Linked DNA regions of Macaca mulatta. The protein of the gene in region 1 interacts with the protein of each later gene in a pairwise test. Links are inferred from orthologs where the notes say so. Each region holds a gene or a part of one and is shown in the gene's direction. Other genes may lie near its edges. The genes, in order: EIF1AD, BEND7, GLYR1, STX11, STAT1 and SDCBP2.

What was found.
Region 2: the proteins of EIF1AD (region 1) and BEND7 interact in binary tests that used the Homo sapiens proteins (3 or more experiments, as listed by UniProt). The two-hybrid records come from large-scale screens. The link is inferred for Macaca mulatta from reciprocal best matches to the Homo sapiens genes EIF1AD and BEND7.
Region 3: the proteins of EIF1AD (region 1) and GLYR1 interact in binary tests that used the Homo sapiens proteins (3 or more experiments, as listed by UniProt). The two-hybrid records come from large-scale screens. The link is inferred for Macaca mulatta from reciprocal best matches to the Homo sapiens genes EIF1AD and GLYR1.
Region 4: the proteins of EIF1AD (region 1) and STX11 interact in binary tests that used the Homo sapiens proteins (3 or more experiments, as listed by UniProt). The two-hybrid records come from large-scale screens. The link is inferred for Macaca mulatta from reciprocal best matches to the Homo sapiens genes EIF1AD and STX11.
Region 5: the proteins of EIF1AD (region 1) and STAT1 interact in binary tests that used the Homo sapiens proteins (3 or more experiments, as listed by UniProt). The two-hybrid records come from large-scale screens. The link is inferred for Macaca mulatta from reciprocal best matches to the Homo sapiens genes EIF1AD and STAT1.
Region 6: the proteins of EIF1AD (region 1) and SDCBP2 interact in a two-hybrid assay, tested with the Homo sapiens proteins (3 studies listed by BioGRID and IntAct). The two-hybrid records come from large-scale screens. The link is inferred for Macaca mulatta from reciprocal best matches to the Homo sapiens genes EIF1AD and SDCBP2.

What each region holds. Positions count from the first base shown.
Region 1 is NC_133419.1:8,415,360-8,420,623, forward strand, and holds EIF1AD (probable RNA-binding protein EIF1AD), read left to right. Parts: upstream 1-1,799; 5' UTR 1,800-2,046; exon of another isoform or gene 2,047-2,963; 5' UTR 2,964-3,050; coding exon 3,051-3,137; intron 3,138-3,272; coding exon 3,273-3,381; intron 3,382-3,767; coding exon 3,768-3,876; intron 3,877-4,044; coding exon 4,045-4,092; intron 4,093-4,700; coding exon 4,701-4,845; 3' UTR 4,846-5,019; downstream 5,020-5,264. Other genes in the region: BANF1 (barrier-to-autointegration factor), read right to left, coding at 177-323, 576-714, 1,434-1,459.
Region 2 is NC_133414.1:15,041,855-15,046,335, reverse strand, and holds part of BEND7 (BEN domain-containing protein 7), read left to right. Parts: intron 1-2,051; coding exon 2,052-2,393; intron 2,394-4,481.
Region 3 is NC_133425.1:6,108,351-6,113,631, reverse strand, and holds the start of GLYR1 (cytokine-like nuclear factor N-PAC), read left to right. Parts: upstream 1-1,988; coding exon 1,989-2,026; coding exon of another isoform or gene 2,027-2,422; exon of another isoform or gene 2,423-3,035; coding exon 3,036-3,072; intron 3,073-4,055; exon of another isoform or gene 4,056-4,084; coding exon 4,085-4,164; intron 4,165-5,281. Other genes in the region: uncharacterized protein LOC144337857, read right to left, coding at 1,517-2,422. UniProt on the Homo sapiens protein: Cytokine-like nuclear factor with chromatin gene reader activity involved in chromatin modification and regulation of gene expression. Acts as a nucleosome-destabilizing factor that is recruited to genes during transcriptional activation.
Region 4 is NC_133409.1:49,410,703-49,415,870, forward strand, and holds the start of STX11 (syntaxin-11), read left to right. Parts: upstream 1-1,667; 5' UTR 1,668-1,762; intron 1,763-2,187; exon of another isoform or gene 2,188-2,494; intron 2,495-5,168. UniProt on the Homo sapiens protein: SNARE that acts to regulate protein transport between late endosomes and the trans-Golgi network.
Region 5 is NC_133417.1:96,038,700-96,043,180, reverse strand, and holds part of STAT1 (signal transducer and activator of transcription 1-alpha/beta), read left to right. Parts: intron 1-696; coding exon 697-775; intron 776-1,849; coding exon 1,850-1,941; intron 1,942-2,156; coding exon 2,157-2,308; intron 2,309-4,481. UniProt on the Homo sapiens protein: Signal transducer and transcription activator that mediates cellular responses to interferons (IFNs), cytokine KITLG/SCF and other cytokines and other growth factors.
Region 6 is NC_133415.1:82,838,617-82,843,097, forward strand, and holds part of SDCBP2 (syntenin-2), read left to right. Parts: intron 1-2,844; coding exon 2,845-3,003; intron 3,004-3,550; coding exon 3,551-3,726; intron 3,727-3,804; coding exon 3,805-3,976; intron 3,977-4,481.

The sequences.
Region 1 (5,264 bases):
GCGAGAATCCAAAAAAGTTGAAATGGTTAGGGGAGAAAACTCCCAAAAGACCCTGGAGTACATCGGAGGTGAGTACGACAATAGCAATCTTTTCCTTCGTAGAGGGCAGGGGAGGAGTCCCTACTCGGCTGCAAACTCTGGATGAGGGCTGGGGATTGAGAGCTTCCCAGAGAGCATCACAAGAAGGCGTCACACCACTCTCGAAGGCATCCGAAGCAGTCCCGGGACTGCTTGGCGTTGGCGCCACACGTGTCCTTCAGCCATTCCCGGAAGAGGTCTTCATCTTTCTTTAGCACCAGAAACTGGCCAAGGACAACATAGGCCTGCAAAACAGGGAAAAAGGAAGGGGTGTGCTGCTCAGTGTTCAGTGAGGGATAAGAGCAAGGCGGCCATTCCTGTGCCATTCAGAGTACACAAGCCCAAGAAGCAGCGTGGGTTTTGCCCCCATCTCCTCTCCACCAGGTGCCCAGGCTCTGGCAGCCTCTTCAGATTATACCCCACTGTCCACCCCCTAGCAGATGGACTCACTTCCCTCCCACCCCCGCCTGCACCAGGTACAGGCGGCCACCCCACACCTTGTCAAAGCCCCTCTCCTCCAGCTTCTTGCCCAGGACTTCACCAATCCCAGCCAGGCTCCCCACTGGCTTCTCCCCCATGGGCTCTGCCACGAAGTCTCGGTGCTTTTGGGAGGTTGTCATCTTGATCAGGCTTAATCTAGGAATCCCAAAAGAAAGGCAGATTAGGGCTGAAGACCTGGAACTCCTAAGAGCCCACTAGCAATCTCACAGTAAGAGGCAGCCAAGCCAGGGATTCCGGTGGCTTGCTCTATCCCCCTCATCCTGAAAGGAGAAAACCGAGATCCAGGGAGACTCTTCCCTACTATTCTGAAAAGGAGTTTCTTCCTGCAGGACCTGGATTTTGATCTTGCCCCAGAAGAAAAACAATCTTGCCTAACAGGTGGCGCAAGCGGGGCAGTGGGAAGATTCCCAGAGTCAGTAGCCAGGGCTGCCCGGAAGCTGTCACTCCCTCTGTGACCTTGGCTGAGCCAAGAAGGTACTGACTGCCTGGAACAGCCACTTGGCGTGGAAAGCTAACCAGAGTCTCTACCTACAGGGCGAAGCGCACACCGAGCGCTGCGCACACCCGCTACGCGTCCACGGGGCACACGCCGCACCCCAGCTCCGCCCCCATCGCGCGCAGCCGCGGCCCGCCCCCTCCCGCGGCCCGGCTTCCACGCGCCGCACCCCGCCCCCTCCCCGCAGCGCGGCCAAACTCTCCCCCAGGGCCCGCCACAGCGCCTGCGGCCCCTCTCCTCCCCTTCTCCCCGCAATCCCTCTGGCCTCCAGCCAGGGCCCTGCTCCGCGGCTCGCGCTCACCGGCAGCTTCAGTTCCCGTAACGGTTCCTCCCGCCACCCTGCTGCTCCCGCGGATACGTCAAGCCACTAGAACTTTCTTCCATTTCCGCTTCCGGGTCGCCTCAGCCGCCTTTTAAAAAAAAAAAAAACCTTCCACGTTGGGCCCTTCTAGCCAGTTAGAGCTATAGAGTTGAGGCGCCACGGACCTCGACGGCGTCCTTAGTAGGCGCTCCTTTCCGGTTCTTCGCGGGAAGCCCTGTCTTCTGAGGTCTCGCTCCTCGAGCAGTTCTGAGGGAGAGAGGCCTACAGGGAGAGAACTTCCTTTCTGTGCTGCCCGGACCCGGAACTCAAGGACTTAGGCTTGACCGACCTGGCGTAGGGAAGAGTTAGAAGACGGACAAGGGAGGGGACGGGTGGCCGGGAGGCCTCTGAGACAGCGCCGGAAGACGGTTTTCGGAGGGATCCGACTCAGACTCACGTCGCACTCCTCGCAGTGGGACTGGTGGGAACTGGGAACGCTGGAGACCTGATTTCGAGGTGACGCTACCGTCGCGGCCGCCGGCAAGTTCCTTTACTGTGTTTTCTTGGCTCAGCCTTGAAGTGAGTCGTGGACGATCCTCTCTCAGCGTCCAGCCTGGACAGCGGGGTTGCTCCGGCAGCGTTCCTGGGAGCCCAGGGCCAGAGACTGAGTGTGGGTGTTTCTCTGAGGGTCTTTTCTCCGGGATAGACAGGGAGGAGGAAGGAGAACGGCAACTAGAGATGACAGTGTTTCCTTCGGAAACCATCAGTCTTAAGGGTGCTGGTCCTCGTCTTCTAAGTACGCAAGTCAGAAAAATGCAGATGTCGCAGACAAGCCTGCTCACCTCAACCTTTAATTAACTAGTTCCTGGCTTGGACCATCACGGTGGCCACCTAATTTGTCTCCGGCTGTAGTGTGTTGCCAGACTGAACTTCTCTGTTGTGTGACTGTGCCAGACTTGGGGTGTACAAGCGTGTTGAGAAAGATACGGTTTATTTCAAACTCCTTCCAGAGAGGTTGCCAGGATGATTTATCTGGAACTTTCCTATAGTTTTACATTACACCAGTACCTAAGATTGTAGAAGTTACTTTTTTTTTTTTTTTTTTTTTTTGAGACCGAGTCTCTCTCTGTTGCCCAGGCTGGAGTGCAGTGGCACGATCTCGGCTCACTCTAAGCTCCGCCTCCCGGGTTCACGCCATTCTCCTGCCTCAGCCTCCCAAGTAGCTGGCGCCCGCCACCACGCCCGGCTAAGTTTTTGTATTTTTAGTGGAGACGAGGTTTCACCGTGTTAGGATGGTCTGGATCTCTTGACCTCGTGATTCGCCCGCCTCGGCCTCCCAAAGTGCTGGGATTACAGGCGTGAGCCACAGCTCCCTGCCGGAGTTACTTTTACATGACATGCACTGTTGTCCCATTCTGTAACAGTGCTGAGTTAGCTGTTATTTTTCTGGGACCTAGAGAAGTTGAATAGTTAGGAAATAAATGAGGGTAGGATTTGAATCCAGGCAGTTAGACTTCAGAGCCCATGTTCTTAACCAAGACACCGTGTCACCCCTCAGTAAAAGGCCCCTCCCCATCTTCAGAACAGTCCTGGGTTCTGAGCCTGCCATCCAAGGAACTCAGGAGGAGGAGTTGACAGTCTCTTCGTTCCTAACCACCCTGGGACAACTTCAGCATGTCTCAGGCCACCAAGAGGAAGCATGTGGTGAAGGAGGTGCTGGGGGAGCACATCGTGCCCTCCGACCAGCAGCAGATTGTCAGGGTGAGTGGCTTTGGGCACAAGCTGCTCTGCTCCCCACCCCTCCAGCCCTGGAGGGCCCCTGGGGTGGTGGCAGGGTGCGCGTGGCTGAGAGAGTGTTTGACCGATGAGACTGATTCTTGGTCTCTCCTGAACCAGGTACTCAGGACCCCAGGGAACAATCTGCATGAGGTGGAGACAGCCCAAGGGCAGCGCTTCCTGGTGAGCATGCCCTCTAAATACCGCAAGAACATCTGGATCAAGAGAGGTGAGAGGATCACTCCTGTAATCCCAGCACTTTGAGGGGCTGAGGTGGGAGGATCGCTTGAGACTATCCTGGGCAGCATAATGAGATCTTGTCTCTACAAAAAGTAAAAAATTAGTTGGGCACGTGCCTGTGATCCCAGCTATTCGGGAGGCTGAGGCCTGAGAATCACTTGAGCCTGGGAGGTGGAGGCTGCAGTCAGCTATGATCATGCTATTGCATTCCAGCCTGGGCAACAGAGCAAGACCCTGTCTCAAAAAAAAAAGAAAAAAAGAGAGACAGGGAGGTGAGAGAGGCAGCCCTCTCTAGGAGATAGAACCACTTCCTATGGCTTTGGCTTTCCTTATTGCAGGCAGGCCTGACTTTGCCTTTTCTCTTCTTACCTACAGGAGACTTTCTCATTGTTGACCCCATTGAAGAGGGAGAAAAGGTGAAGGCTGAGATCTCGTTTGTGCTCTGCAAGGACCACGTGCGCTCCCTGCAGAAGGAGGGCTTTTGGTAGGTGGTCCCCTTGATCACTGACTCTCTGGCTTCTGAAGGCATTGCCTTCCTAGCTTGGGAATTAGGGGAGGGAAGGTCATGGCATCCCAGGCAGAGACAGCTGGAAACAGCTCTTTTGTGAGAAAGTGATTTGTCCTCCCTGACTTTGCTCATCTCTTGGCATAGGCCTGAGGCCTTCTCTGAAGTGGCTGAGAAACACAACAACAGGAACAGGTGAGAAACAAGCCTTGCGGTGGGACACATGGAAAATAAGGGGTTCATGCTTTGGTGCCTTGAGGGAAAAATAGAGCCTTTTTTCCTCCTTACATAGGGTATCTGTTGAGAGCTCCTACGTATGTGGTACATAGTTATGAATGTGGCTTGAAGGTCAGATTCTCTGGGTTAAAATCCTGGCTTTGCCACTTAAAGCTGAATGACTTTAAGCACGTCATTTAATTCCTTCCAACTCTATTTTCCTTATATATAAAATGGGAGCATTGTGAGGATTAAAGAAGTGGATGGCTTGTAAAATTGCTTAGTGCAGCATCTGGTGTGTGATGCGGGTTCATTAAGCATTAGTTGGTGGTCGTAGAATCATTATTCCTGACTGAAACAAATGGCTGTGGCACATGTTTGGGGACTGGGGTCAGTCTTTAGCCTGTTTCTCTAGCCAAGTTTCCCCACTGTTTGCTCTGCCTCTGTCCCTTGTTTTAGTCTTTAAAGGGTGCTGTAGGGCCCTGACTGCTGGGCCGGATGGTCCTCCTTTTTTTGGAACTCCTTGATTGTAGATCTGGTTTTCTCAGAAGGTGCTGGGCTAACTCTGCTCTTTTCCCTTCGTGCAGACAAACTCAACCAGAACTCCCAGCTGAGCCACAGTTATCAGGAGAGGAGTCCAGCTCAGAAGATGATTCTGACCTGTTTGTTAACACAAACCGCAGACAGTATCATGAGAGTGAGGAGGAGAGCGAAGAGGAGGAGGCCACCTGAGACTCCAGGACCCACTTTTCCACTTGCTCAGGGATGGGCCCCTGGCTCTTCTGGGCTTGGACATTCCCAGGGTGCTTTGCAGATCTTCATCCCTGGATGGGGACAAAGCAGGGCCCCTCTCTGAACTGATGTTTTGATTAGGAGAATTAAACCCCTGGTGGGTTGGTGACTTGTTCTGGTGTCTGAGTGGCTCTCTCGGGGGACGGAGGCTTGTGGTGAGGTGAAGAACTGCTCCCTGGTAAAGAGACCTTGTGACTGGGTGGGCTGAATGGGAAGGAAATGGGAAATGGCTGGAGTCTTTCCCCGGTTGTTTGTTCTTTCTTACTGGGCACTTAGAAAGTGCCAGGCCCTGCGCTGGGCCTCCTTGCATGTGTGTAACAGCTGGGAGCTTCCTGCTTCCTTGCCTGCTTGCAGTTCGT
Region 2 (4,481 bases), on another chromosome or scaffold:
TAACCTTCCTTATTTAGTAACATAACACATGTATTAATAAGCTAAATATCTAACTTGAAAGCACAAAATGGCTAGGTTATTGTGCAGTTACCAGTTCTACAGCGAAACTTCGCTTATATGATCCTAAGTGCATTAAAACATCATTATATTGAATGTGCTGTATTTATTTGTAGGAGCTGTATTTTTCTTAACAGATGCTGTCTGTTAGCCTTTTCTTTTTCTTACAGTTTAAATTTCAAGCATTTATTAGAGTAACTGCATGAATGTTTACACGCACATACCCTGGCCTAAGAATTTTTTTTTGTTTTGTTTGTTTTGTTTTTGTTTTTTTTTTTTGAGACAGGGTCTGCCTCTGTCACCCAGGCTGAAGTGCAGTGGCATGATCTCGGCTCACTGCAACCTCTGCCTCCAGGGCTCAAGCAATCCTTCTGTCTCAGCCTCCAAGTAGCTGGGACCGCAGGCACACACCACCACGCTGGGCTAACTTTTGTCCTTTTTGTAGAGACGGGGTTTCTCCATATTGGCCAGGCTGGTCACAAACTCCTGAGCTCAAGTGATCTGCCCATCTCAGCCTCCCAAAGTGCTGGAATCACACATGTGAGCCACCATGCCCAGCAGTGGCCTAAGATTTTATTTTATCTTCTGGGTTTGAGGAAAAAAAATCCTTTTCTCTTCATCTTCATGAAGATATTGGCTGACGCACAGTTTAAGAAGATAATGTGTTTGAAATAGCTCCTAATAGATATCATTATCCTTTGATATTATTATTGATAGAAAAGATTTTCTTTCTTTTTTTTTTTTTTTTTTGGAGATGGAGTTTTGCTCTTGTTGCCCAGGCTGGAGTGCAGTGGCGCGATCTCACCTCACCACAACCTCCTCCCCGCAGGGTGAGCTGGGTTCTCCTGGCTCAGCCTCCTGAGTAGCTGAGATTACAGGCATGCACCACCATGCCCGGCTAATTTTCCATTTTTAGTAGAGACAGGGTTTCTCCATGTTGGTTAGGCTGGTCTCGAACTCCCTACCTCTGGTGATCTACCCGCCTCGGCCTCCCAAAGTGCTGGGATTACAGGCATGAGCCACCGCGCCCGGCCGAAAATATTTTCTATCTGTACAATATTATAGACATCTTTAAGTAATATTTATTAAGTACTCCCAGTGCAATATAGAAGTTCTTTAATTTAAAAAAAATTCCTGAGTTGGGAGAAAAATCTTTAAAAAAAGAAGTCAGTGTAGGTGAGGTGGGATTTCACAGTTGCCTGTGACCTCTCACACGTAGTTACGCTGCAGGGGAGGTGGCAGTGCGTTTGGCATTGGGGGGAGGGCGGGGTGGGGAGGCTGCACTTCCGCCCTTCCAGTGCTGGTACTGCCAGTGACCTCGAGTGGCAGGGACCCCTCGGTCATCACCAGGTTGATGTGATGGGAATCGGTGCCAGAAAGACAAAGCCCCCTTGCTCGCCATGCTGCCACACTCAGCGCCTCTCTCTCTCCTCGGCCATCCTCTCTGAAGGTGATGTCTCCAGCGGCAGCAGCGTGTCATCCTGGAGGACATTGTGTCAGTAGTGAAGCCCTGCATCCCTGCCAGTCCAGGCTTGCTTCCTTGTCCTCGCCCCGCCTGCTGAAGCTGACAAGACAGCAGAGCGCGTTAGTGACCTGCCCGTTCCTCACGGGTGGCTGTGGCACATCAGAGTAGAGGGGTTCCGCTGTCCAGTTCTATCCTTGACCTTCTGTCTCAGCCTGTTTCCTCATCACCTTCTCACTCAGAAAATGCTTCCAAAGAGGGAATGTGATGTTTGTTCCTGATGACACACTCTCAAGAAACCTCTTTTATCATAGGAGACTTGCAGAGATTAAAATGAGAGGCACCAGGAATATGGTGGGTTTTTTCAGACCGTAGTCAGTTTTCCTGCCTTTGCATTTTACAGATTAAGTGTATCGAATCAGTCATCTTATTTCCAAAGAAGGGTTGTTTTTTCTTTCTCTTGTTTTTGGTTAGTGAACTGTTTTTCTTTTTCACTAATTTAGAGTGCTAACTTTGGCCCTGTTTCCATTAGGAGATGAAAGCATGGAAATAAAAAAGCAAATTACAGGGATGAGAAGATTGCTGAACGACAGCACTGGGCGGATCTATCAGCGAGTTGGCAAAGAAGGAGAGAAACTAAAAGAAGAGCCCCAGGACCTGGATTTAGTCTGGCCTCCGCGTTTGAACTCCTCTGCTGAGGCCCCACAGAGCCTCCACCTGTCTTCACGTGGTGTGTGGAATGAGCTACCGCCCCAGAGTGGACAGTTCTCAGGGCAGTATGGCACCCGTTCTAGAACCTTCCAAAGCCAGCCCCACCCTGCTGCAAGCTCCAATGGTATGGTTGTCAACAAACATTCAGAAGGCTCTCATGGGGGTTTGTACCATTGTGTTTTATTTCTAAATATTCAGTGTGTTGAGTTCAATTTATTAAACCCTCCCATAATTACCTGCCTTTGCTGAGTTACTTTAAAAGACAGGGAGACACAAAGGAAAGAGTTGAAGACTATTAAAAAACAGAATTGAGAATTAGGAAAGACAGGGGGTTCTATATTATAAGTGAAGATTTCCTGGTAGAGATTTTAGCCCTTTAAGAAGTAAAAGCGATCATTTTGTGCCCATATACAGATATTACTGTCACAAAAAAAACAAACATTAGGGCAGAAAGAGCTCCCCATTGTCTTTAAAAGAAGCTTCCTGGTCCTATGGTGTGTTACTAACATATCCTCTTGGTTACTCCTTCACCTTTCTCATTATCAGAAGAGTCCCAGATAAAGGCAAGGGCGGGGGAGGGTCAGTGATAATCCAGCATCCCACACCAGTACTGAACCCCGTGATCCATATTTTATAACGTGCTTCATTAGCAATGGAAAGTATTCCTTTAAAGTAAAATTTTCTCAATTTAAGTTTCCTAATTGTTAAGAAAAGAATCAAATGACAATTTTTTTTTTCAAAGCTTAAGAAAAAAACCTGATGCTTTTTGTGGTCATATTAGTTTTCTATCCAGCCACATTGGATGCTATAATATTTGTTCTAAAACTATGTAGAGATGTGCAGATCTCTGTTTTCACAAAGAGAACAAGAAAAAGGTAAGAAAGCATTTTCAGTTTCCTAAAGAAGTTAAGGATTTTTTTCCATTCGTTTTCATTTCACAATATCGTTCAAGAAAAAGAGAACTGTTTTGACTTTTTTTAAAACCGCAATTTGCGGTTCAGAGGCGTGAAAAGCCATCCTGAGACATTGATGAGACAGCGAAGGACCCCAGAGATGTATGGGTGTCTTCTCTTTCTCTCAATATTACATAAGCCAGTATCAAAGTTCCCACGCTGGCATGCATCCAGGTTAGAGGGACACAGCTCTTTAAAGTCTCCTCCATAAAAATAAAAAGTCAGTTCTCTTTAAAATTAGAAAATGATTTATAACAAGCTGAAAAGGGTTGGTTTTGTCCTCTAAAAATGATGAAGATGGTACTTAGAATAGTGACTAGAAATATTCTTTAAGACCTTCCTAACTCTACTACCATGGAAGAGACAATAAGAGAAATAAAATACCCTTAGGTATGTGTGAAGTTAATAAACCCCACATCAGTAAGTTTTGGGTAAACAGTGTTCAGTTTCCCAGTATACAGCAGCAACAGTGGATTTACCTTGAAAAGTATCAAGTTAGTAAAAGTTGCAAACATAAATTCCCCCATATCAGTTTGAAAATAGATATTGATTTTATGTTTTCTGTAGAAATATGGCTAGGCGTGGTGGCTTACGCCTATAGTCCTAACATTTTGGGAGGCTGAGATGAGTGGATTGCTTGAGGCCAGGAGTTCAAGACCAGCCTGGCCAACGTGACGAAACCCCATCACTACTAAAAAATACAAAGCCGGGCGTGGCAGCGCATGCCTGTAGTCCCAGCTACTTGGGAGGCTGAGGCGTGAGAATCGCTTGAGCCTGGGAGGGGGAGGTTGCAGTGAGCCAGGATCATGCCACTGCACTCCAGCCTGTGCAACAGACTGAGACCCTGTCTCAAAAAAAAAAAAAGAAAGAAATACATTACATATAACTGTGACTACTTTGGTATTTAATTGGGATTATTTACAATTTTAAAGTTGTAACATTACAATCTTGCTACAATTTTGAATGTAAATAATTGTACCACTACAGTCACTAAGTTATCTTGAAGTATTTCATGGTTTTGCTCTGGCGAATTTTTCTATAGTATTCCCAAATAATGCCTATTACAGGATTTAAGGTATATAAAGTATAATAAAACATATAATTGGAACAAAACCATGGAACTTACCTTGCTGGCCTGTGAGAAAATGTAAGCTCTGGAAGTCTCTAAACTGCTCCATTTTATGGTGGTCAGGTGAACAGGTGCTGGAGGGAACCCACTGTAAGAGCAGTGTCCAAATGTCCCATTTTATTCTAAGGACAATGGAAGATACTTGCTTACCTATGAGAGAAACAGAATA
Region 3 (5,281 bases), on another chromosome or scaffold:
TGTTTCCTGTCTTATTGCACTGGCTAGAACTTTCAGGATATTAGGCAATACATTCATATTATCTAATAGTGGCAGAAATGTACCACGTTTCTGACGTTAACGGGAATGCCTCTAGGTTTTGGTGCAATGTTGATTAAAGATTTTTTTTTTTCGTGGGGGAAAAGTCTCGCTCTGTCGCCAGGCTGGAGTGCAGTGACATAATCTGAGCTCACTGCGACCTCCGCTTCCCGGCTTAAGCGATTCTCCTGTCTCAGCCTTCCGAGTAGCTGGGACTACAGACATGTACCACCACGCCCGGCTAATTTTGTATTTTTAGTAGAGACGGGATTGACCGTGTTGGCCAGGCTGGTCTCTGAACTGCTGATCTCAGGTGGTCCGCCCGCCTCGTCCTCCCAAAACGCTGGTATTACAGGCTTATGCCACCATGCCCAGCCAAGATTCATATTTTTAATTAAGTTATTAAAACATCCTTCAATTCCTCACAAAGTAAGAATTTTTAAACAGGAACATGTTATTTTTATCAAATTATTCCCTAGTATCTCAAATACGCTTTCAAAATCATTTTGTCTTAAAAATACATACACAGTAAAATGACAGTTCATGAAGTTAATTCTTGGTACTTCAGGGAAACTGATCTCCCAAAAAAAATCAGGCTGCGGGACGACCCAGTACGCTAAACACCGACTTGCAACCGAAACCTCTAACCACCAAAATGCCTTGGGGAAACGCGTGGGGACCCGCCACCTTTTCCAGCAGGCTGGAACTCAACAAGAGCCCGACACCAAGTCTAAGTCATTCCTTGACACTGTGGAGTCTGTGATCAGGTCTGGGATCTTTTGCAAAACTGTGTTTCTACCTGGTCTGCTGAAGTTTGGGCCGGCGCTGCGCTCAACCGCAGCTAACACTTCCCACTTCATGGTTCAGTTTTCAAGTGTCCAAACTACGCCCGGCATCTGTCTTCCTGTTGTCACAACTTTTTCAGAAGTGCCAAACTACGGCAAGGCTAACGGGAGAGCCCGGACCCGACAAAGACACGCACCTTTGTCCCCAGAGCCGACGCGGGCCGCAGACGTCCCCCCGCGGCGGTCCTCATGCCGGTCCCCGGGCGGCGGCGCAGCTAGCGGTCGGCTCCCGAGCCGTGGCTCCCTGCGGGCGGGCGGCCCGCGCCTCGGCCCATGACCGGGTCCCCGCGCCCAGGGGAGCCTGGTGTGCCGCGCCGCGCGCCGGCCCAGGAGGAAGCGAAGAAATGCCAACTCGACGTCCGTACAGCCACTCTGAGGACACCAAGGGGTCGGGGGAGCAGCCTCCGGGCGCCCCGGGAGAACTTGCGGCGCGGGACCACGCGCTCAGACGGCGCCTCCGAAAGCGGCCGTCGGGAGGAGCGCTCCAAAGAACACGGGCGGCAGGAGCAGACGGGCGCGGACACCAGGGCCTCCCGGTCTGCGGCCAAGAGGAGTAGCCGGGCGCCGGAGCCCAGACCCGGCGGAAGCTGAGTTCCAGGCCGCGCTGAGCTCCGTCACGGGAGCTCACGGGCGCAGCGACGGGGCCGACCAGCGCCTCGGGCTCGGGAATGGCCCCGGGGCCCGCGCAGGACCAACGGCCGCAACGGAAGCGCCGAGAGGGGAGGAGCGCGGAGTCCAAGGCCCGGGGGCGGGGCAGGCCGCGAGGCCGGCTCCCTCTCGCGCTCAGCCGGTCGCACCGTCGCCGCCGCCGCCGCCGCCTCAGACCGCGGACGCTTCGTTGTCACGAGCCGGAGGGAGGGGGAAAGAGCCGGGAGTCTCTGCGCTCCGGCGCGCGGAGACCGCGGCGCTCGCGTCACGTGCCGCTCGGCCAGCCAATGATCCCCGACAGGCGCGGTGACGTCGGAGCAGCGGCGTGGCCGATGACAGCCGGCCCCCATCACGTGGTCGAACCCACTCCAATGGGCGGCGCCGAGGCGACCTGCTTGTTCCCGGCGGCCCGTGCGTCGGCGGTGGTTGGGTGGTAAGATGGCGGCTGTGAGTCTGCGGCTCGGCGACTTGGTGTGGTGAGTCCGGGCGGCCGGGCCAACCGAGACGCGCCGGGGAGCTGCCCGCCAGGGTGCGGGGTTCGCTGCCGGCCCCGGAGCTGTCTTTCTGTGCGCTCCAGGTCGCGGAGAGAGGGGAAGAGAAGGTGCCGGCGCTTCCGAGCGGCGCCGGGCGGAAGGGGCAGTCCAGTCCCGGGGGACCGAGGCCGAGGGTGGCCACGGCGGGCAGCGGCTTTGATCCCCGAGGCCGCCCGGGAGGGTTCTGCACTCGGGGCCCAGATACTGGCGGCCCCTGAGAAAGGACCCGCCAGTGCCGCGAGGCTTCCTTGGACGACTTGTTCCCGGGGTCTTGCTGGGGCTTCCCAGAAAGCAGAAGCGCCGGGGACCGAACCTGCGAGTCCATCTCGCCGGTGCCATTCGGTTAAAGCCCAGGTTGCGATGCAGCCGACCTGTGCGGGCGGCTCAGCCGGGATTGTCTAAACCGGACTTCTGGCGTTGCCCCGCGAAGAAACGGCGGGGTAGTTCTTTACAACCAATGGCTTGGCAGTGACCAGTGCAGGCTTGGGTGCACTGCTTCTCTGTCCCAGACAACCGCCCGAACCAAGGCTGATTGTCGCCGCCTCCCTCGAGCTGCATAGCTTGTTTCTCCACCCAGAGGAAGGCTTCCATTAGCATTTGTCAAAGCCAGGCAGGTCTCCTGTTGAATTAAACCAGACTTAGGGAGGGAAAGTCTGTGTTTACAGAGGAAGTTGTCCTCCCACCCCCGTCATTAAGAAGCTCCAGACAAGTGACTTTTGACAGTTGTGTTGTTTTGTATTCCTTGTCAACAGAAGAATGGTTACACGTTGTGCACATAAGTATACAATTTTGCATTTTGCTTCTGAGGGTCTTGGGCCCAGCTGTGGAAGCTTTTGTTCCGCCACTTGAGGATGCCAGCAGAGATTTAGGAAAATAAATTGCGTACTGAGTGGGTTGAAGGAGATAGGCTGACTTTTCCAGGTCGAGTGTTAACTCTGTGTTTTTTCTCTAGGGGGAAACTCGGCCGGTATCCTCCTTGGCCAGGAAAGGTGAGTGTGTTGCTACTAAAGGAAGATATCTGAAGTTGGGTTTGAGGAGGTGGAGAATGTAAGATGCATTCCTCTCAGTTTCTAGTATTGAGTTAAACTGGGCCCATTCAGATGGCACTTAGAATTTTTTTTCTCCTAGTATCAGTTATTTTTTTTAAAGGCAATGCAGTATATTCCAGATCATTAAATCTGCTCTAAACGCTTATTTCTTGATTTAGAGAAGGTTTATGAAGTTTCTTTTTTAACCCCGGAAATAATTCTAATCTGAATTTAGCTTTATGCTTAAATGTAACAAAAGGAGAAGAAAATATAAATTATCCAGGAAGAGAAATCTAAATGTAGGTTAGTGAAAAGCCAAAGTATTTTTGTCCCAACTAAGTTTAAATCTTCTTTCCATGTTACCATATGTGCTACTCCAGTGCCTCTTTGCAGAAGTTGGCATTCCAGATTTTGCATGAGGTGATCCATCATTGCTTTCCAAATGTGTTTTTATATTCTTGCTTGGAGCCCAGGAAGTGTCTTTAGATGGTCTCTTTGCAATATGGTGTTTTCTGTGCCTCAGTTGTCCTTTGTTTTCACTATGTCCTGTCTCAACTCTTCCTGCACAGGAAGTATTTCAAAGAGGGTCCTCTGCTTTTTTTCAGTAATGATGGGGTCACATTGGGGCGGGGCAGGTTGGTGGGGGGCAGGAGATGTTGTTGATCTTAGTTTTAACTGCTTGTAAAACAGGGCCTCTACAGTGAAAGGGATATTGTGTCTGCTGAGCACTGTGCTACATGTTAAATATTGGGAACTTGTAGAATATCTACACATTTCCACAAATCTCTAGAAAAATGGGAGATTTAGACAAGTACTAGGCCTTGGGTTCTGTTTTGTATATAAATATATTTATTTGTAAGTCATTTTAATTTACTTTTTTCTTCCCAACATAGAGCTGTGTAGAGCAATGTGGAGCCACTAGACAGTGGGCTGCGCGTTGCCAGCCAACCTTTTTCCCCCTTTTATCCTCCAGATTGTTAATCCACCAAAGGACTTGAAGAAACCTCGTGGAAAGAAATGCTTCTTTGTGAAATTTTTTGGAACAGAAGATCAGTGAGTAGTATTCACCAGGAGTCTCCCTTTACCTTTCTTTCTGTGTTACCTGGAGTCTGAGCTGCTTTGAAAATATTCTAAGGATCCTTAGTTCAGTCTTCTTATAATGTATAATACTGGCATCTCATTCTGGCTTCATACCTAAATAAAGGTGCAATTTCTTGCAGAAATTGCCCTAGACAACTGTCCTAGGCCTATAACTAAGTCAGGCAAGAGCTAGGTTCATTTACCTTCTAAATGTAATAATCACATCGAAGTAGTTTCTCACATGTTTCTTTACCCAACTCCAAAGGCAGTTCCTTTTTGTTTGTTTTTGAGACAGGGACTTACTCTGTCACCCAACCTGGAGTGCAGAGGCACAGTCTCAGCTCAGCACAACCTCTGCCTCCCCAACTCAAGCAGTCCTCTCACCTCAGCCTCCCGAATAGCTGGGACCACAAGTGTGCACCACCATGCCCAGCTGATTTTTTGTAGAGGGGGTTTTACCGTGTTGCCCAGGATGATGTGGAACTCCTGGACTCAAGCAATCCACCTGCCTTGGCCTCCCAAAGTGCTGGATTATAGGCATGAACCACCACCCCCAGCTGGCAGTTATTTTTATAAAAGCCATGTTCAGTTCTCTTTTAATGCTATATATCATTGTGGTTCATGCATGAGGTATACAATGAAAACTAAAATTGTATTTACCTTAATGAAAGTAATTGTTCAATCCTGTTCTCATTTGTAAAACTAAGTGATTTGTTCTGACATTATTATAGTAGGTCTTTTTGCCGGATCTGTCCTAAGTTGGGGAAACCAGGACCATTAATCTGAGACTCTTTGACCATATAGCATGTTGCAGTGAGAGGAAGAACGTGTATTAACTTGAGTTACTAGTGATTTGTTTAGCTTTCTCATCACTATGTCAAGTTGCTTACCTGGGTCAAGCTAGATGGTTTGACCTTTTTTTTTGAGATGGAGTTTAACTCTGTCACCCAGGCTGGAGTGGAATGGCGTGATCTCAGCTCACTGCAACCTCCACCTCTCGGGTTCAAGCAATTCTCGTGCCTAAGCCTCCCGAGTAGCTGGGACTACAGGCGCACACCACCACGCCTGGCTAATTTTTTTGTATTTTTAG
Region 4 (5,168 bases), on another chromosome or scaffold:
TGTCCCGCTGTTGGAAGTTGTTTGATATTTTTCTCATTATGATACTGAGGTTATGGTTTTTGGGGAGGGAGACCACACAGGTAATATGCCATATTCATCACATCATGTTGACTACACGCCATCAATATGAGTCATGATTGTTGACGTTGACTTAGAACATCTGGTTGGGGTAGTGTCTGTTGGCTTTCTCCATTGTAAAGCTACTCTTTTCCCCTTTCCACATTGTACTATTTTGGAGGAAGTCACTGTGCACAGCCTAGGGTAGATGATCTACATAAATTATTTGGAATTATTCTGTATAGGAGATTTGTCTCCTCTCTGCCATTTATTCATTTATTTATTTATTTATATCAGTGTAGACTCATGGATATTTTTTACTTTGGTTTGTAATCCAGTACTACTTTGTTCAGTTTACTTCGTTGCTCAGTGGTTCCATCTTTGGCAACTGGGAGCTCTTTCAGGTGGTTCCTGTGTTTAAACATTCTCCCATCAAGACAGGATTCGTTTATTTTTATTTTTTATTTTTTTTCTTCTCATTCAATTGAGGCAGCGTCTCATTCTGTCGCCCAGGCTGGAGTGCAGTGGCGCGATCTCGGCTCACTGCATCCTTGGCCTCCCGGCCTCAAGTGATCCTCCCACCTTAGCCTCCCGCGTAGCTGGGCTCACAGCGCGTGCCACCACGCCCAGTTAATTTTTTTTTATTTTTTGTAGAGATAGGCTTTCACCATATTGCTCTGGCTGGTCTCAAATTTCTGGGCTCAAGAGATCCGCCCCCTTCGGCCTCCCAAAGTGTTAGGATTACGGGCATGAGCTACCGCGCCCGGCCCGATTTTTCCTTTCTTGAGTATCACTTCCTTACTTTTCAGCCTCAGCCTTGTTTTTCAAGGTGCTTTACCATCACCTGACACAATCCACACTTTATGTTTATCTCTCCCCGTTAAAGTGCCGGGACCTGGAGGGAGGGTCTTGGCAGTGTTTTTGAGCGCGGTGTTATCCTGGGAATACAAGGGGCCGCTCAGTTGATATCCAGGGAATGATGAGCCTGGCGGGTGTTGAGGCCGACTGGAGATGGGTTGGCCGGCCGGGTTCTGGGAAGGCTGTGCTCGGCCTCTGTGTGACCGCAGGCTCCTCGCCCGCCTCCTCGAGGGTCCCGCGGATGCAGGACCTGCTGCAGCCTCCGCAGCCACACCCACGCTCAGAGACCGCTTCCAGCGTCCTTGCCGCAGAAACGCACCGGACTGCAAATGTCACCGGCGCAGCGGGGATTCCCGGGGAAAGTCCATCGCACTCCCTGACCTGGGGACCAGAGGATGAGCGGAGGAAGTGTCTTGGGCGGCTAACATCCCACTCCCTGCGCCGGTCTGCGCCGCCCCCGGGAACGCCCCGGGGCTCGCGGGAGGGGCTGGAGCGAGTCCCCGGCTCCGGGCGGTCCCGAGCGCACGGACTCCGGGTGGGGCGGGAACCCGTGCTCTGTGAGCCGGCTGCTGCCGCGCCCCGGCGCTGTCATCCCGGGGCGGGGCCTGGTCCCCAGCTGTGGTAGCTTCCTAAGCGGCGGGGGCTGAGCCGGCGGCGCCCAGATGCGGCCGCGGCGGCGCGGAGCTCGGGCGGCTGTGGAGGAGCCCAGCCTCGGCCGCAGGAGGCGCCGGGAGCAGAGCCGCCGGGAGTCGCGCAACAGGTTTCCTTCCCCATCGCGGCGCCCACAGGGGACGCGCGCCCTGCGGGGAGAGAGGCTTCTCAGTTCGCGCTCTCGTTCCGGGTCCAGGTTTGTTTTTCTCTCCCTGAGCCCCCATTTCTCTTTCTGACCCCCCATTTCTCTTCCTGACCCCCCATTTCTCTTCCTGACTATTCCCCGTGCGCTGAGAGATCCGGGAGGCGGGCGGGGGCACTGTCTGGGCTCGGGACCCGCGGCTGCGCCTTAGTTGGGATTTTGGATCTGGCGCAGGTCCTCACGCCGCCTCTGGGCACCTTCGGAAACACAGGATTGGGTTCCTCATATAAAGCGGAATGATTTTTTAAAATTACTTTTAATTTCAGAGGCTGAGGGATTTAGGATTTAGTGCTTCACAGGAATTATTTTAGGGATACCTGTCGGTAGGCTGCCTTTTTAAAGTGTCCACCTAAGACTATTTTATTTTAAATCGAAAGACTGAAGTGTTTTTGTGTTATCACCTCTTCACTTCCTATTAGGGTGACTGTGTCAAAAACACCAGAATGGGTACTTCTTGACTTGAACTTGGCAGTGTCACTCAGTAGCCAAGAAAGACGGAGAAATTGATAGAGCCTTGGAGCAGTCCCTTCGCAGCCCACGTAAGACTTTGTTTTAGAAAAATGGAGAGAAGTAGTGGCAATGCCTGCGAGAACCACGCCGTCCTGAGAGGGAATTCTGCCTTTTTCTAGACTCCGCTGACACCAGCTGAGATCTGTATTACTTCCTGTGGTTCTCACGCGCTTGTTTCAGCCGTTTCTCAGCAAAGGGAGGAGCTGTTATTTACAGGTATCCAAAAATGAGTCACAGGGCTGCTCTCTTAATTGTGAGACTTTGTTAATGAACTTTTGAAAAGCGAGGCTTGCTCTGTCTGTATTTAAAATGAGACTGTAGATGTGAAATGCCTGCCCTGCTGACCTGGGGCAGTGGTATGGGAAGTGACGATTGAGTTTTCAGTTTCCTAAGGCGCCTGATGTTACAACATGCCAGTAAAGGTCACTGGGTTGATTTAAGATAACCACTAAAATCATGTGCTTTGCCTCAGAAGCCCAGGAGAAAATTAATTTCATTATTCAATGACCATTTTGCTACCATTTTCACTGAATAGTAGAAATGTATCATTTAATGTGGTGATTGTAACTCTCTAAAATCAAAATATTTCAGACAGTGTGTGTTTACTAAATTGATGCCAAAACCACATGGTGCTTTTTGAAGCGGGTGGGTCCCAGCGGGAGCAGAGAAATTTAAAAGTTGAAGCTGACAGGCCCCACTGTGGTGGGTAGCAGCACCTAGGAAGGGACTGCACACTATCTCAACACGGTAGAGAAGGGAGCACCATCTCTACTGGAGCTGAGTTGAGCTGAATTCAGTCCCAAACAACAGTTAACAGGTACTTTCTCTGTGCCAGCCTCTTCCCTGAACCTTGCTTGTACAACCATGAATAATAGGATCCTGCTGACAAGGTGCTAGGGTAAATCTATACCCAGAGTGAAGTTTCTGTCCCAATATAACTCAATCTGCTGGGTTCCAGTGTATTTAAAGAGTAAACTCAGCAGATTACCATCCCTAGATCATTGCAGTCACCTTTAGTTAGCAGCGTGACTTTTAGGAAATGGTATGACTAATTAATAGGTTGTTTTGTTTTGTTTTTTGAGACAGAGTCTTACTCTCTTGCCCCACACGGGAGTGTAGTGGTGCAATCTTGGCTCACTGCAACCTCCTCCTCCTGCGTTCAAGCAATTCTCGTGTTTCAGCCTTCCAAGTAGCTGGGACTACAGGCACCCACAACACCCAGCTGACTTTTGTATTTGTAGTAGGGACAAGTTTGGCCCTGTTGACCAGGCTGGTCTCGAACTACTGACCTCAGGTGATCTGCTTGCCTTGGCCTCCCAAAGTGCTGGTATTGCAGATGTGAGCCACCATGCCCTGCCTAATACTTTATAAATTTGTAACACTATATTGAAGCAAGTTTTTGATCATTGTTTTTGTAGTTCAAATCAATGTTTTTTAGCACATTATAGCCTTGTGAGCCAAAATGAATAAATCTACCATATCACAGTTTACTGTTACAATTGAAATCTGCTGAGACACTTTTGAACTTGATGCCCAAGTATCAAGGTTTCCAAGTTTCCACAGTTTGCTAAGATATCCAACTAATAAAGGCAACACTGCTAAATTTCAGACAACTTTACCTTAATTTCCAAACTTTATTCCTCCTTTGAAAGCCCTGAAGTTACTTTTTCTATGACAAAGGGTTGAGTGTGTCATTCAGCATTGTACTCCCTGAACTTGTCCCAGGCTCGACTCATGAGAAGTGTTGGAAAGTGTCATTCAGCATTGTACTCCCTGAACTTGTCCCAGGCTCGACTCATGAGAAGTGTTGGAAAGTGTTTATTGATGAAATAATGAACCTTCATGTAGGAGGATGAATTGGCAGGCAAGTGGAAGGCTCAGTGACCCAGCAGAAGGAACAGCACCCATAGAGAAGTGAAACAGCACTGGACATTCAGGAAACTCCAGCCTGTTTAGTGACAGCACAGAGCGAGGGCTGGGGAGACAGGAAGGGCCAGATCACAAAGGCCCCATGAGGGTTTATAGTACTGAGCCCTTTGAACAAGTGAATGATATTGTCAGGTGTGTGTTTAAAAAATTATAACAAAAATTGGAATTTAAAAAATCTTAGATTAGATGACAGTGGCATTGACTTTAGGGAGACACCTTGGAAACTGTTGTCATATTGCAGATGGGACATTAAAGAAGGCCTGAATCGAGCAGTGACAGTGCAGACGGGAAAAGAGGAAAGGGGCTGGTAGAGGTTTAATAGGTGGAACCCAGTCGGGTGTATATTTAGAAGTGGGCAATGAGGAGGTGGGAGAAGTTAAGATGACTCCCACATTTCTAATGAATGACTAGGATAAGAATATCCTACTCAGTGGAAGAGTAGATTTGGGCTAAAGGGTGGTGAGAAGCTCACACAGTACTTGGCACATAATCAGTGCTCATTAAGATTTTTCAAATGAATGTCAGTAATAGCTAAAATTTGTTGAGTACTTATTATGGGCCACACACTATCCTAGGCTCACTATGCGCATTAAGCCTTTTACTCCTCAGTACCATCCTGTGAGATAGGCACTCAAATTAACTGCTTTGACTGGTGAAGAAAGTGCAGTGTTAGTAACTGACAGAGCCAGAAATGCATCCCAAGCACTTGGTTCCATAGCTTGCATTCTGAAGCACTCTGCTGTGATGTGCTGTCTTGATGAATGAATCAATGAGGATTTGGACTTTGTGGTAAGCTCAGGTTGAAGTCACTTTCCTGCCCCTAATAATTCTTCCTTATCCCAAGAATGGTCTTGATGCATAAGATGGGCCCTCAGTATCCCTACTGTGCTACATGACATCCCACCTCCAACCTTCACTCCAAGAAATACCTGATTCATCTAGGAAGAAACCTGGAATAATC
Region 5 (4,481 bases), on another chromosome or scaffold:
CCTTGACTGTATGCCTCAGACAGCATCTTTCGAAACTCCACATTCTTCGGAGCAACTTTATCCTGCGGTCTCCTAGGGAAGCATTTCATTAAAGTAGAAACCGAGTGAGCCCAGTCCAGAAATAGCCATGGAAATCCAGAGAAGAGTATGTGGAAATGTGACCAAATCTCAAACAAATGATGCTTATTTGTAGAATGCACATACAATTTATTGTCCAGGTGGAGATGCATTTGAGCTGCCAAGAGGGCACTGTTTATAATTATAGCAAGTATGAAACCAGGTCTGTCCCAGTAAAGCTGAGATGTATGGTCACTTATTTGGAAGGAATGAGGAAATTTTCTATGAGCTTTTCCCCCCACTGCTGTGGGCTTCACAATGGAGTTTTTAAATAATCTCAGAGGTAGTCTCAAAATGATGAGGAAGAATCAAAATTTAGGTGCTGGAACCAGGTTAAGGACATACAAATCAGTTTGAGAATTATTGTATGTTGGCTTTTTTAAAAGTGTTATTACATACTTATTAATGAAATAGAAATTATTTCATGTGTATGATTAGAACTCTCCAAATCAGATCTCTTTTTGAGGGAGCTGGAATTGTTTTCATGTTTCTCTGGGTTTCATAGAAGCAATACTCTGTTGCCTAAAGTATTTGGAAGTTGCTGATCAGTAGAAAACATGTTTACATCTTTATTTGTAGTGTATAGAGCATGAAATCAAGAGCCTGGAAGATTTACAAGATGAATATGACTTCAAATGCAAAACCTTGCAGAACAGAGGTAAGGGTTCACAACTGAAGTGGTGCCCATTGGCTGTGATTTTTTCTGTTTACACTAGATAACGAAGATGATTACTCCTTTCTATTTGCCGAGTATTTTATGACTCTGAATTCTTCCTTGATAACCCAGGCCAGGATTTCTTAACATCCAATACTGTTGACATTTTGGGGTAGCTAATTGGTTGTGGGGGCTGTCCTGGCATTGTAGAATGTTTAGCAACATCCCTGACTTATACCCACCAGGTGCCAGTAGCACTACCCAGGAGCCCTCACTAGTGACAATCAAAACTGTCTCCAGAGATTACCAAAAGTCCCCTAGGGGTCAGTGACCCCTACTTGATAACTACTGGTTATGTGTTACTCAGCTTATTTATTGCACCTAGCCCACTGACACAGACTGACACAGAGTGATAGATATGTGGAGTTCCCCTGCCCTGATATCTCAAGTTTCTTCAAACATGGCGTGTCCACATGTGTACACTGCAGATGAGCTCATTATTTTTCTCATGTTTTAAAGCAGTTTTACTCTATTTTGTTACTGTTGATGTTTTTAATGAGAGTAGCAACAGAAAAGAACTCAAGAATGTGCATTGTGTGGAACATGTAAGGCACTGCTGTTGCTGTATTCATCATCTGGGGTATAGCATGGTTCATAGGCAGAGATTATCAGTATGATTTAGGTAAAAAGTATGAGAGACAGCAACTTCAGCTACCGCTTCCTAATCATCTGCTTCTCTTTGAAAGCTACAGATACGCTTTGTATACATTTTTTACCTGAAGTTTTGAATTCTGTTATTTACATTTATTTAGGTAATTACCTGACAGTGTCTTCAGTGGCAGATACTACTATGTCTGATTTACATGGGCCACTGAAAACAAGTATTTTGTTTCAGTTTGCCTAGTTGTTATACTTAGGACTTTTTTCATGTTTAATAAAGATTGAAGAAAGCCAAACTTTGACCTGTCACTGGGCAGCATTTGTGTCATCTTTATCCTATATTTATATGAATCTTGGCTTTTGTTGGTTTTGTCTTCTTTATATAAATATATTTACTGGCTGTCTCTCAATTTATAGAACACGAGACCAATGGTGTGGCAAAGAGTGATCAGAAACAAGAACAGCTGTTACTCAAGAAGATGTATTTAATGCTTGACAATAAAAGAAAGGTAGTTATTTACTTTCCAGAACAGCATGCCGCTTTTGTTATAGACTGTAAATAATGGAATCAAAATTTAGAAGAGAAGAAAAATTATTTTTATAACCTCCTGGCTTAGAGCCCCAGTTGAGAATGAAATGATATTTGCTTTTCTTTTAAAAAATATTTTAAAATTCAGCGATTAAAAATGAGTTTATTTCACTTTGTTTCTTCCACTGCCTTTAGGAAGTAGTTCACAAAATAATCGAGTTGTTGAATGTCACTGAACTTACCCAGAATGCCCTGATTAATGATGAACTAGTGGAGTGGAAGCGGAGACAGCAGAGCGCCTGTATTGGGGGGCCGCCCAATGCTTGCCTGGATCAGCTGCAGAACTGGTAAGATTCTCCAAAGCGGAAAACTGGCAGCTGACTGGCTAACCACATAAACTCATAAATGCACCTTTGAGCTGTGTTAGTTGAATGGACCCTGTTAAAACGTTGGTATAGAGTTTGACGTAATCCAGCTTCTGCTTACCCTGGAAACACTCCCTTGGAAAGCACAGTGTTATTCATGACTCTTGCCACGTTCAGCCACGTCTACTTGGTTTGGATCACTCCTGTACCATGGGATGTGTCGTTTGACTGTACAGAACATCAGTGACATGGTCATTATAGAACACATTTAACAACTTGACTCCTAATGTTTCATTTAAAACAAGATAGCTCGAGGCATTTTTCTAGGCTTACAGAATAGTTTGTTAGGAACCATTCATTCAGTCATCCATCCAGTAATACTTATTAAATGCCTACTGTGTGCCAGGCACTGTAGGACCTGGGCACACAAGGATGAATGATTCTTCGCCCTTGCCAACAAGGAGTTCTCAGTGTGGAAGGGGGATGTAGACATGGTAATAATTCCGTACAGTGAAAGTTTCCAGGTGCTCTAGCAAAAGGCCATCAGAGTTCTGTGGAGGACAAAGGAAAGCATCTCCAGGGAAGGTTTCATAGAGGAAGTGGCCTTGTGCTGACTCAAAAGTGACTAGGGTTACTCCATATAGATCAAGGGGAAGTACTTTTCAGCACAGAGCACATGATGTGCAAAGGCACACACGTGGGAGACTGAAGGGACTGTATTGGGTGGCGGGAGAGTGAGGTGTCAGGGGAGACGGGAAGGAAAGTGGACCCGGCGGGAGATGCTGGAGCCTGATGGTGCAGGTTCTGAGCACCATGCTCAGAGTGTGGGCCGTATGCTGCTGTCCTGCTGAGCCAAGGCAGGCTTTTTTCTTAAGCAGGAGATGTATTTCTCTGATCTTTGATTTAGAAAGGGTGCTCTGGCCACATCCTGGAGGATAGGATAGAGACAGAAAGACCAGTTGGAATACTGTTAGCATATTAGTGTGGTCCAGGTGAGGGGCAACAGGAGCTGAACTTGGGATCAGAGAGTGAACATGAGGGAAGGTGGCCTGGGACAATTGCTAAGGGTCCAAGGACCAGAGATCTCATGAGGTTATTTTCTATATTGCCAATTTTTTAAAAATCACAATTAATATTCAGCCATTTATTTTTATTCTGTGAATTGCCTGTAGGTACCCCAGGTTTCTTGTGGGTTAGAGCAGAGCTTCTGAGCCCAGTGCGCCCCATGTGCCTTGAGGGATACTGACACCCCTAAGCCCTTCAGGTGGTCAGGGAGGCCTTGGGGTGTCTAGAGCCCCCTAGTGGTCCTCTTAGACCACAGGCGCCTCTTGTAGGGACACACATGCCCTCTAGTTTTCCCACTGTGCTGTCTAAGGATTGTCATTTTCTCAGTGTGCAAGCAGAGTTGGGGACACTGGTTTAGCATCTCCTCTGGAACTTAGCCAGCCATGACCCTGCCTGCTCCTTTCCTGATGAAGGGCTACTGTCCCAGGGCTTTGAACTGGAATCGAGTAAAATCATAAAGTGAAGTAGATACTTTTCCCAGGGAAGAAGACACTTTTAAAAGGTTTTCTTCTGTCATTACTGCAAGCGAATAAAATTGCGTTTCCCCAGCCTGTGTTACCGTTAGCAGTTGACTGTAAGGAAGGAAGACGAAGAGCAATCACTAGGTTTACTCACTAGCTTTCTATTTTTAGGGTCTAGACTGAGCATATTGCCTTCTCCTTTCAGTTGAGTAAAGCCAGAATCATCGTTCCTTCCTCTCTTCCTGTCCCCGGCCTTGCCTCCCCTCTCTGTGTCTCCTCCTGCCCCTCAGCTCCACATCTCTGACTGGTCCTGCCGAGACACTGCTTGCTGATGCCACTCTCTTCACAGAACCTGCAGTGGCTCCTCGCTGCCTCTTGCATCACCTGGAAGCATCTGCTTTGCTGTTTTCCCTGCCTCTGGCCTCCTCTTTGCCCTGCGCTGGTCACAGATCACCTAGAAGCCCTGCCCCCACCCATCTCTCCTTACATAAGCTTCAGTGGTGTGAAGAAGTTTTTGATCTAGGCTGTACTCAGTGCATGTTAGTTTTACTCCTCAAATAACAAAGCTTCTACTGCTGGCACAGGCCTCGTTCCCTTTGTTTTTCCATAGAGCGCAGAGCGTGGTATCC
Region 6 (4,481 bases), on another chromosome or scaffold:
GTGATCCACCCACCTCAGCCTCCCGAGTAGCTGGGACCACAGGTGCACACTACCATGCCTAGCTAATTTCTTTTATTATTGTTACTTTTATTTTTTGTGGAGACAAGGTCTTGCTATGTTGGCCAAGCTGGGGCTTGTTTGTAGTGTTTTGGGAGTTCTTTATATATTCTAAAGTCCTTCGTCAGAGAAGTGGTTTGTATTTTCTCTCAGTCTGTAGCTTAAAAGTTCTGAATTTTGATGAGGTCCAGTTTATTGATTTTTTTTTCTTTTGTGGTTTGTACTTTGCAAAGAAATATTTACCAAGCCCTAAGTCCGAAAGATTTTCTCCTTCATGTTCTTCTAAAATTGTTATAGTTTTATGTTTTGCATTTAAATTTATGATTGAATTTGAGTTAATTTTTTTGTAAGGAGTTAGGTTTCAGTCAAAGTTCATATTTTTGCCATGGTTGCACCATTTGCTTTTTTTGTTGTTTTGTTTGTTTGTTTGTTTGTTTTGAGATGGGGTCTCACTCTGTCACCAAGGCTGGAGTGCAGTGACATGATCTTGGCTCACTGCAACCTCTGCCTCCCGAGCTCAAGCGATCCTCCCATCTCAGCCTCCTGAGTATCTGGAACCACAGGCACTTTCCAGCACACCTGGCTAATTTTTGTATTTTTTGTAGAGATGAGGTTTCACCCTGTTGCCAAAGGCTGGTCTTGAACTCCTGACTTCAGCTGATCTCCCCGCACTGGCCTCCCAAATTGCTAAGATTACAGTTGCGCCCTAGCCAACACTATTTGTTGAAAGCACTCTTGCAAAAAGCAGTTGACTTTACTCATTTGAGGCTATTTCTGGATTATCTACTTTGTTCCACTGGTACTTGTCTGTCCCTTCACCAATACCACACTGTCTTGATTACTGTAGCTGTATAATAAGTCTTGAACTTTGGTAGTGATTCCTCTCGCTATTCTTTTTGTCAGCATTGTTTCAGCTATTCTAAATTCCTTTGTCTTTTCATATAAAGTTTAGATTAACCTTGCCTGGATCTGCAAAACATCTTGTAGAGATTTTGATAGAAATGGTGTCATATCTGTGTATCAATTTGGCGACAATTGACAGCTTCACTAATTCTTTCAACCCACGAATACAGAGAATCTTACATTTATTTAGGTCTTCTTTGATATCTTTTATCAGTATTTTGTCGTTTTTAGCATACATTTTCTGTATGTGTTTTGTTAGAGTTACACGTATTTCTTTTTTTTTTTTTTTTTTAAGTTTTGTTGAGTTTTTGTTTTTAACAGAGATGGGGGTCTTACTTTGTTGCCCAGGCTGGTCTTGAACTCCTGGTCTCAAGTGATCCTCTGGTCTTGGTCTCCCAAAATGCTGGGATTATAGGAGTGAGCCACTGAGCTCGGCCTTTTTTTTTTTTTCTTTTTTTTTTTTTTTTTTGAGTGATTGTAAGTGGTATTGTATTGTATTCCTTTTCTTTTCCTTTCCTTTTCTTTTCTTTTGTTTTTCTTTTTCTTTTTTTTTTTTTTTTTTTTTTTTTTTTTGAGATGGAGTATTGCTCTGTCACCTAGGCTGCACTGAGCAGTGGTTCAGTCTTGGATCACTGCAACCTCCACCTCCTCGGTTCATGTAATTCTCCTGCCTCAGCTACCTGAGTAGCAGGGACTACAGGTGTTTGCCACCAGCCCAGCTGATTTTTGTATTTTTAGTAGAGAGGAGGTTTCATCAGTTGCCCAGGCTGGTCTTGAACTCCTGAGCTCAAGTGATCCACCTGCCTCGACCTCCCAAAGTGCTGGGACTATAGGCATGAGGCACCACGTCCAGCCTGGTGTTGTATTTAAAATTTCAGTTTACACGTGTTCGTTGTTAGTATACAGAAGTACAATCGAATCTTATACGTTAATTTTGTATCCCAGGACCTTGCTAAACTCTTTTATTTGATCTAGGAGTTTATTTGTAGATTCTTTGGGATTTTCTAGTAGACCATCATGACACCTATAAATAGGGACCGTTTTGGCCGGGCGCGGTGGCTCAAGCCTGTAATCCCAGCACTTTGGGAGGCCGAGACGGGTGGATCACGAGGTCAGGAGATCGAGACCATCCTGGCTAACACGGTGAAACCCCGTCTCTACTAAAAATACAAAAAACTAGCCGGGCGAGGTGGCGGGCGCCTATAGTCCCAGCTACTCAGGAGGCTGAGGCCGGAGAATGGCGTGAACCCGGGAGGCGGAGCTTGCAGTGAGCTGAGATCCGGCCACTGCACTCCAGCCTGGGCTACAGAGCGAGACTCCGTCTCAAAAAAAAAAAAAAAAAAAAAAAAAAATAGGGACCGTTTTATTTCCTCTCTTCTGATCTGTGTGACTCCCCCTCTTTTCTTGCCTGCGGTGCTGGCTAGATCTTCCAGTACCGTCTTTAATAGTGTTGGGAGAGTGAAGTTCTTTGCCTTTTTCTGCGTCATTAATTTTTATATTTTTACATTTTTTTCAAGACAAAAATCCAGTCCTTTTATCCCCTGTTGCTCACTGTTTACTGTGACTTTTTCTATTTTAAGTGGGGTTTAAAGGAGTCTTTTCCTGATGCCAATTTCCCTTGGAAAATGAAGGGCCTCTTCCCGTATCCTTGCCCCTTCTCTCCCCATTGCCCTGCCTTTTTAGGGGCATGGACTTTGACGCCCCCTAGTGGCCGCGTGGAGCCACGTCTCCTCTCGGCCCTAGGGGAGAAATGTGGACTGGGGATGTGGTGGGACCCGGGGACGGCTCCATCCTCCTTTCCCCATCCTTACCCCCACCCCAGTGTCTCCTGAGGCACAGGGTCCCCACGGGCCGGGCTGACCCCCTGCTCCCTGGTGTCTGCAGACAGCGGTCTCGGGCCCCGCGCCTGGCCAGATGGTAGCACCGGTGTCCGGGTACAGCCTGGGCGTGCGGCGAGCAGAGATCAAGCCCGGGGTGCGCGAGATCCACCTGTGCAAGGACGAGCGCGGCAAGACCGGGCTGAGGCTGCGGACAGTCGACCAGGTATGGCGCGGGGGCTGGGTGGGAAGAGGAGCTCGAGCTGCACGCCCTTTCCCGCCGGGCCTCAGAGCTCAGAGGTCCGGTCCGCAGTAAGGAAGGTGCAGAGCGCCTCCTAACCCCACTGGCCAGGCTCTTGCCCCCAGTCCCTCCTCCCCGGGACTTGGGCGAGGCTGGTGCTGGGTTGCGCAGTGCCCTCCACTGGAGGAGACTCCCTTCCCCACCAGCCATTCACTGCCCAGGGCATCTAGCTTCCAGGAGACGGTGTAGACAGCAGATACCAGGGAAACCCATGCCTTTGTGAATGGTCCAGTAGAGTGTTTGGGGGGTGCAGCTTCAGGCCAGGATTGAAATTCTGACCCACCTCCTTCGTAACTATGAGGCCTAGAGTGTTTCCTCCCAAGTAAATGGGGTAATCTTGGTGCCCGCCATGCAGAGCTGTGCCCCTGGCACTCTGTAGGCTCCTGGAGTATCAGGAAAACAACAGCTTGGAAGAGGGATCTGTGCCTAGGGTGGGCCAGGGACGCTGACTCTGGGACCCTGCCTCCCCCAGGGGCTCTTTGTGCAGTTGGTCCAGGCCAACACCCCCGCATCCCTTGTGGGGCTGCGCTTTGGGGACCAGATCCTGCAGATTGATGGGCGTGACTGTGCTGGGTGGAGCTCGCGCAAAGCCAATCAGGTGGTGAAGAAGGCATCACCCGAGAAGATTGTCATGGTGGTTCGGGACAGGTGAGTAGCCAGGCCTGGGCAGCCTCTCCGTCTGACCCCGGCCATGTCCTCAGGTCAGCTCACTGTCTCTTCCGCCAGGCCGTTCCAGCGGACTGTCACCATGCACAAGGACAGCATGGGCCATGTCGGCTTCGTGATCAAGAAGGGGAAGATTGTCTCTCTGGTCAAAGGGAGTTCTGCGGCCCGCAACGGGCTCCTCACCAACCACTATGTGTGTGAGGTGGATGGGCAGAATGTCATCGGGCTGAAGGTAGGCCGGTGGTTGCACCGGGGAGGGACTGCTGGGTGGTGGGAGGGCTCAGGTCTATGGGCAGCTTGCTTACCCCACCTGAGCCTCAGCGTCCTCTTCCGAAGGTAAGATGGTGTTCATAGGGCTGGGTGCAGTGACTCACGTCTGTAATCCCGGTGCTTTGGGAGGCCAAAGCAGGAGGATCACTTAAGTCCAGGAGTTTGAGACCAGCCTAGGCAATGTGAAACCCTCTTTCCACAAAAAAGCTAAAAAATTAGCCAAGCGTGGTGGTGCACGCCTGTAGTCCCAGCTACTCAGGAGGCTGAGGTGGGAGGACTACTTGAGCCTGGGAGGTCAAGGCTGCAGTGAACTATGATCATGCCACTGCATTCCAGCCTGGGCAACAGAGACAGACCCTGTCTCCAAAAAAGAAAAAGACAGTGTACCTAGAGCTCTGAGCACAGTGCCAGGCACATAGTAGGTGCTTAATAAATAGTAGCTATTGCTGGCTGCACGGACACCTCCT